Arabidopsis thaliana: one gene and its partner. The protein of the gene in region 2 interacts with the protein of the main gene of each other region in a pairwise test. Each region holds a gene or a part of one and is shown on either strand. Other genes may lie near its edges.

Region 1 (3,758 bases), 1.8 Mb from region 2:
ATGATATATTAAACTGAAAAATATAAAGTTAGTATCTTAGTGGATGAATGAATGGAAAATGATCTACTTTTTTTTTTATATACAAACTTCAGTAGAATTAGGGTACAAAAGGATAAAGTAGAATTTATGACCTGAATGATGGCTACGCGGAGGACATCACCGTGGAGGCCAAGGACAATAGAGCCGATGGCCATGGCCGCCGGTCCGGCAATAAACTTCAATACCATTCCCATCACAGTCAAGCTTGTTCCACATACTATCAACTTTTCTTGAAGTGCCATGAATATTCCTGCGTATATATGCATGTATTCACTGTTATCTCAATACTGATACGTAATCTTTACGTATAGAAAGATACTTGCATGGACATAAATAAACGTACCCATATTGAACATGGCCGTTCCTGTTCCTGCTTTTGACATTATAAGAATCGAACCCTCTAATATGCCCGGCAGCTCCAGATGCCATCTATATTTCCAATTAATTTCCATCAATTATTAGACTTAAGTCTTTATTTGTTAGCCAAGAGTATACAAAACACTAATCAAAACCCTAAACCCAAAATTCACACTAAAACAAATAAAATAGAAATTTGGTCAAAGACTCTAATATTCAGATTAAAATCATGATTAGTTTATTTGCATGTACATGTCACGTTTGCAAATTATGTTACCATGTTAAAAATGTCCTAGTCATTTGTCACATGGAAATATAAACGCAAATGCAAAGAAACAATCGTGACCTATATTTCTGTCAAAATTTTAACTATAGATCATCAGGCGCTACACAGAAAAGTAATAATTTAGATGGTTTAAACGTCAAACTATAGATATTTTTAGGCAATTTTAACGGTTGCCTCGGAGTAAGGGGTGGAATTAATGTAGTCTCCTGAGTCCCTGATCACACATACTAATTAACACTTTGTTAAACATCTTATAGGTACCAATATAAAGTTTAATTAAAGATTCATTTTTACCTGTTAGAAATAAAAGCCCATGCGATCCCAAGGATGCAAGAATAGCAATTTGGATTCGTTGCAAGCTTCAACCAAACGAGGGACATGACCTCAAGGAACGACTTCTCTCCCACAACCACAGTTTCTCTTTTTCCACTTTCGATATTGATGTTGTCTACTTGTACGTCGCTGATATTATTACTACTAAATCCGGCTTTTCTAAACTCTAAGACAAACAACAAGAGTGTGAGCCACACGATGGCTTGAAATACCGAGGATTGAACCACCAGATCAACAGCCTGTTGTCCGTACATTGCCTTAGCCAATGGCACACCAACGACAAGAGAGTTAGTAAGAGTGCATAGAGAGAAACTAGTAATGGACCAACAATAGCTTCCTTTGTTGCTATATTTGGCCCACAACGCTAAGACCGTGACTATGATGACCTTAGAGAGGACATCGGCCGCGATGAACCGGTAATTCATGTTGAACGGGTCGACATGGGCCGTGAACTCAATGGTGAAGAGCGGCAGGGTGAAATAGCAAACGAGACGGTTTATAGCATCACATTGATCACGCGTGAAGATGTGCCACCATTTCACAGAGCCATAGCCTAAGATTAAGGCTACATAGAGTGGAACCATTGCTTCGATTACCTTGTAAACATCTCCACAATTTATCATGGTTTTATCAGAAAAATAGAAATGTTGCAGTAGTAGCAAACGAAAGGAAAGAAAACAAAGCTTCTAAATTCGTTCGTAGATAGTAAATGTGTTACGATAGAGAAACCAACATGTTCATATTTATAGATAAATTTTTAATTGTTTTATTTGTTGTAGAAAAAAGATAGGTAATGAGATATCCATGAGTAATATTCAAACAAAAGTAAAGTTTAGATATAAATTAAACAATAATATTTTTTTCTTCGGAATATGATTACGAATATTTATAAATAATTTGGCTAAATTCCTATAGAATAGATACAATTGAAATTTGAGTCTAAATATTTAGATAAAAAAATTAAAATCAACCTCATATTTTTAGCCATTAGTTTAATTGAGAAACAAGAGAGTTATCGTTATCAATATAATTGACCAGACCGTGCCGTGGCATATGATTCTATTCCAATTGTTTCCTGTAAATAGTGAGTGTAGTGTTTGTGTATGACGTAAACATTTCTTTCAATATTTGACTATATTAATTAATGGTAATGTCGCAGAATAAAGAATGAGGTTGCAGCTTTAGCACCATAACTAGAAGATCGTCTCGACCAATATATGTTTTTGGCTGTCGTAACTCGTCGCCACAACACATGAGACTAACCAAATAATATATTTTCAATAATTTATTCGAAATATTTGCTTAATCGTTTTTTTCTTAATCTTAATATTTATATTTATTAACCACTTTCATAAAATGGGAGCAGAACTATGCTAGTGCATGTAATATAAGTAAAGTGCATGGAATAGTTTGTATATATGCCGAAATGGGTATTTGTGCCCTACGACCTGGCGATAGCAACCAATTTCATAACCGACAAAGAGAGATTTCTTATAAGAAAATGAATTTCACTTACTTATACCTAGTGATGATTTGAATGTTTCAATATATTCATGGTTTAAGAAATAACATGTCATGGGTTTTAGAATATGTTAATATATAGATAGATAGAGAAGTCTACAAATAACTTACTTACTTTTATCTTAAACCATGTTTTACGTTGTTTTTTATGTTTCGTTCGATAAAAAATCATATGGCCATGTCTTTCTTCTTTGTTAAAATATCAAAGAACCATATTATACTACGAGCTAGCGAAAAATCTATCATCGTGAGGATTGAGGAAGCCATTCAAGAACTACAAAAGTTTACAGAAAAATTTGTACCTCGTGCTCTTGTCCTTTCTTGCTAGACAACAAATTTATTATTTGCCTTCTGGACTCTAATATAATCACAACAACACATATTGCTAGGTGCAATATCATCATATTAGCACTTTTTAATTCTATGGTATATTTTTGTTTTGTAACCATATATATTGTCCATTCACAAAGTCTTTTCTATTACACATATTCATGATGAGAAAATTGATTTGATCTAATTACTAGAGAATCATGCAGAGGCATAAAATGATCTGGAAAGCATTTATTTATCATTTGATTTGATAATAACATTTTATGGAAACACCTATCTTTACCAAAGATTTGGAACAAATAGAAAAACATAAGCAAACAAATATATATAGTCGGACTAAAACAAAAACAAAAAGGGGGATTTGACTGATGGAACAAAAGTTAAAATCGGTGGATTAGAAATCTGTGAAAACGTGGAGGATGCTTATTCACTGGTGAAATTGAGGGATCATATATAAATATGAATAATAATGCTAGTAGAATAAGTTCTATTTATCACTTGATGATTACAAATCTATAATATGCTTTCAAATTTCTCTCCTGATGTGTTGATATATATTACAGTCTTTTTAATATCAAAAAGGTTTTTGTCTTCTCTCATTCATTCATTCATCGTTAATACTTTTGTTTTTGTGTGACATATTTTCATTATTCTTCTTGAATTATGTCAGAAATAGCTAGCTAGCACGATTGGAAAGTTTATTCAAAATCCATCTTATTTGTTTTGTACTTTTGACGTCATGAATATTATGTTGATGTTTTTTCCCAAACCACAAAAACAAAACAATCAAAGTTTTTCAGACCAGAAAACACTATATGTTGGGGTTTATACTGTTCTTCCTAAATTAGAGTTCGAATTCAAGAGTAGTGATCATATAACTTTCGTTTTCCTT
Region 2 (3,758 bases):
AAGCTCATCTCTTGCAAAATTTTTACAATATTTCTGTATGTCAGGAACACAACTCTTTTATTCATTTTCTAAAGAAAATTTATACAAAACTCAGAAATCCAAAGATACAGAGTAATAAAATTACTCGAAAGGTAGATTTTACATTTGAAGCGCAGAAAAGAGTAGATATTTTAGACAGGTTCAGGTCATAGAAGCTGAGCTCGGTCTGTGGTCTTTGTGGCTGCTCAACCTTCTCCTTCTCACCCACTTTGTCTCACTAGAAGCTGGAGAAACGGCTCCATCAGCTGACGGGAGTTCGCAAGGAAGTGCCATAGCCGAGCTGGTGAAGGCGTTGAGAACAAGGAACGCCAAAATGGGAGACAAATCTAATCCTCCAAGAGGCGGTATGAATCCCCGGAAAATGTTCAAGTATGGATCACATAAAGTGCTGAAACAATGGTAACGCATATACACATAAATAGGAATCAACTAGGGTTCCTGGGCAGATCAATCAGGGTTTAACCAATCTTTAATCCATTTAAGAGTTGGACAAAAAAGTAGTAGACAGAGTTTATCCAAAATAAATTTCCTCTAAATCAAGTAAAAAGACTACCTTCAACAATCACGAATAGGACTTCTATGATCTAGATTTTGTTTTCATGGATTGATCGAAAACTTTTAAACCTGGATAAGATATAAAATCATTGTGGCATTTGAAGGCAACGTTTTACCTGAGGGGGTTAACAATGGCAGGAGGAGCACTCGGGAACCAGGTGAGTACTAGACGGACGACAAGGATGGTGTTATATATGTTGAGGAAATTGATCAAACCATTAGCAACCACCAATCCTGCAACTGAATCTCCAGGCAGAACCGCTGCAAATCCGTGATTAGACATCGCAAACCTCACCCTTGTAGTGTTTCTCAAACGAATCTGCAATGCAACAAAATGATCTTCATCTTTAAGACATAAAGAACCCAAAACCAGAAGCAAAGGCACACAAAATCATAACCGGACTTATCCAGAAGCCAAGTTTCATCTTTACAAGAAAAGAACCAAAAAAGATCCCAACTTGAGGACATATATAACTCAGGGTTATCAATGTGAGAAGGTTTTCCAATAAATGCTAAATGATCTAGACAACAATCTACTGGCTGTTAAAGAATGACCCATTTTGTATAAATAGAAACCACAAAGATTCACCCATTACAGTAACAATCAGAGCCAAGGCAAGTTCATGAGAAACACACAATCATCTTCTTAACTTAATCCATAACATTCTTTAGCATAAGCAGGCTAAGAGAAGTTACCTCGTCGCACAAAATGTGAAATTCGGAAGATAGGCGAACCGCTTCCTGAAAGAGAGGGTTCTTAGAGGCGAGCGAATGGAGGAATCCTTTAAATTTCTCAGTAGCAGAAATCAGAGACTGATGAAAGTCTTGAATCAATTTGACGGAGTCTGCAACTGGTGGTAGAAGAAGCAAATTGGGTTTGTTCGAACGCACAAGAGGTGTTTGCGTAAATGCCGAAGAGAGCGATACGAAAAAGTTCGGTATCGGTCCTGAAGGATTGGATTTCAAGCTTTTCATAGCTGGTTCATTCGCACTCGCCTCCATTGTTGCAAAGCTCTAGATGTGTTGTAGAAGAAGAAAGCTTGAGAAGATAAAGTTACCTCCAAACAAAAAACAATATTTCAGGAAGATGACACGTGGCATCGCTGTGTCCCGGGGGCTGTAATCCTCTAGCTGAGTTAGAAGGTCTTACCTATTAAAACTTTGCGTTTTATGTCTCTCTCTGATTTTTCTGGTGACAGCCTGGCTTTTTAAAAATTCCACAAAAATGGCTAATGTTCGGATATATTCCAAATCCGACGTGTCAACGTTTAGCGATACTCTTTTTAACGAACCATACACCAGTCCACCACTAGTTTCTTACTTGTATACATCGCGTGACTATCGTCGTCTGTCTCGCCGGAGAAAATGGCGAGCAATCTTCTCCGATTTCCTCTTCCTCCGCCATCGAGTCTTCATATTCGTCCAAGTAAGTTCCTCGTGAACCGATGCTTTCCAAGACTGCGCCGTTCTCGTATCCGGCGGCACTGTTCGCGACCTTTTTTTTTAGTATCAAACTCGGTCGAGATAAGTACTCAATCATTTGAATCTACTGAATCTTCAATCGAATCTGTGAAATCCATTACGAGCGACACGCCTATTCTCCTCGATGTGAGTGGGATGATGTGTGGTGGCTGCGTCGCCCGAGTTAAATCGGTTTTGATGTCTGATGATCGAGTCGCGTCTGCTGTGGTTAACATGCTGACTGAAACCGCGGCTGTGAAGTTTAAACCGGAGGTTGAGGTGACGGCGGATACGGCAGAGAGTTTAGCTAAGAGATTGACAGAGAGTGGTTTTGAGGCTAAGAGGAGAGTCTCGGGTATGGGAGTGGCGGAGAATGTGAAGAAGTGGAAGGAGATGGTAAGTAAGAAAGAGGACTTGCTTGTTAAGAGCAGGAACCGTGTGGCGTTTGCGTGGACATTGGTGGCTCTGTGTTGCGGGTCTCACACTTCGCATATTCTTCATTCCTTGGGAATTCACATTGCTCATGGTACATTGATTATAATGCAAAAAAAATTGTGATGCTAGATGTCATTTGTTGGATAAGAGATGTAGTTTATGACTTTCTCTTGCACCTGATGTTACTAGGAGGGATTTGGGATTTGCTACACAACTCTTACGTGAAAGGTGGTTTGGCCGTTGGAGCTTTGTTGGGACCAGGAAGAGGTTTGCTTTTGTTTAAACTTTTAGTTCGAATCTATGATTCTTACCAGCTAATGCATAATAAGTTTAGTAATTAGTATCATAAGAGAGAGATGACAAAGTAGTCGTTCTTAGGCTATTGTTTAGACTTAGATAAGTGCTAGTGTTCTACTCTGATTATATAGGTGAGCTTTGTTGAATCAGTTCTTCTTATGGATAATGGTTAGCTTAATTGAGTCGTCGTTGTCATAAGAGAGAAACTCTGAATTTTCAAACTTCTTAAGTGATAGTGATGGTTCCTACTATTCTTTGCGACTTTCATAACAAAGTGGTGGTAGTGATATTTGAGGCTGTTCGGAAACACAAATGACTGAAACAGATAGATGTATATTGTAGAATTGCTGTTTGATGGCATAAAAGCTTTCGGGAAAAGATCACCTAATATGAACTCGTTAGTTGGATTGGGATCCATGGCTGCATTTTCCATCAGTTTGGTGAGTTTTTGTACCCTGTAATTTATATTTGACTGGTGAGTATCCTATTCTGAAAACCTGCAGTTTCTGCATTCTGAATTTTGCAGATCTCACTAGTTAATCCAGAACTGGAGTGGGATGCTTCCTTCTTCGATGAACCGGTGAGTTTCTCTAGCAGATCCACAAGAGGATGAAAGCTTTTTATTATTACTTCCACTACATGCAAAATACAGTTTCAATAGTAAATTTCTGATTGATAGCTCTTGTCATTTAGTATGCAGGTCATGCTGCTTGGCTTTGTGCTCCTTGGTCGTTCTTTGGAAGAAAGAGCAAAGCTTCAAGCATCTACCGATATGAATGAACTATTGGTATGTTAGACATTTCTTGATTCTCCTCCCAAGATTAACTTGTAGGCTTTTTCCTCCCTTTTTTTTGACTTGAAACGTATTTTTGCAGTCACTCATCTCCACTCAATCAAGACTTGTGATTACTTCATCAGACAATAACACCCCAGTGGATTCTGTACTTTCCTCTGATTCAATTTGCATCAAT

The links.
Region 1: the proteins of YLMG2 (region 2) and PIN5 interact in a protein complementation assay, tested with the Arabidopsis thaliana proteins (one large-scale study listed by BioGRID).

What each region holds. Positions count from the first base shown.
Region 1 is NC_003076.8:5,398,615-5,402,372, reverse strand, and holds the start of PIN5 (Auxin efflux carrier family protein), read right to left. Parts: upstream 1,734-3,758; 5' UTR 1,639-1,733; coding exon 977-1,638; intron 469-976; coding exon 383-468; intron 290-382; coding exon 132-289; intron 1-131. UniProt on the Arabidopsis thaliana protein: Auxin transporter regulating intracellular auxin homeostasis and metabolism. Mediates the auxin transport from the cytosol into the lumen of the endoplasmic reticulum. May also act as an auxin efflux carrier when located to the cell membrane.
Region 2 is NC_003076.8:7,241,170-7,244,927, forward strand, and holds YLMG2 (YGGT family protein), read right to left. Parts: upstream 1,712-3,758; 5' UTR 1,597-1,711; coding exon 1,291-1,596; intron 914-1,290; coding exon 711-913; coding exon of another isoform or gene 707-710; intron 672-706; exon of another isoform or gene 428-671; coding exon 181-427; 3' UTR 32-180; downstream 1-31. Other genes in the region: PAA2 (uncharacterized protein), read left to right, coding at 1,960-2,581, 2,680-2,757, 3,130-3,227, 3,314-3,367, 3,488-3,574, 3,663-3,758. UniProt on the Arabidopsis thaliana protein: Not required for the biogenesis and accumulation of native cytochrome b6 in the thylakoid membrane. Not functionally involved in the pathway for covalent binding of the c-type heme to cytochrome b6.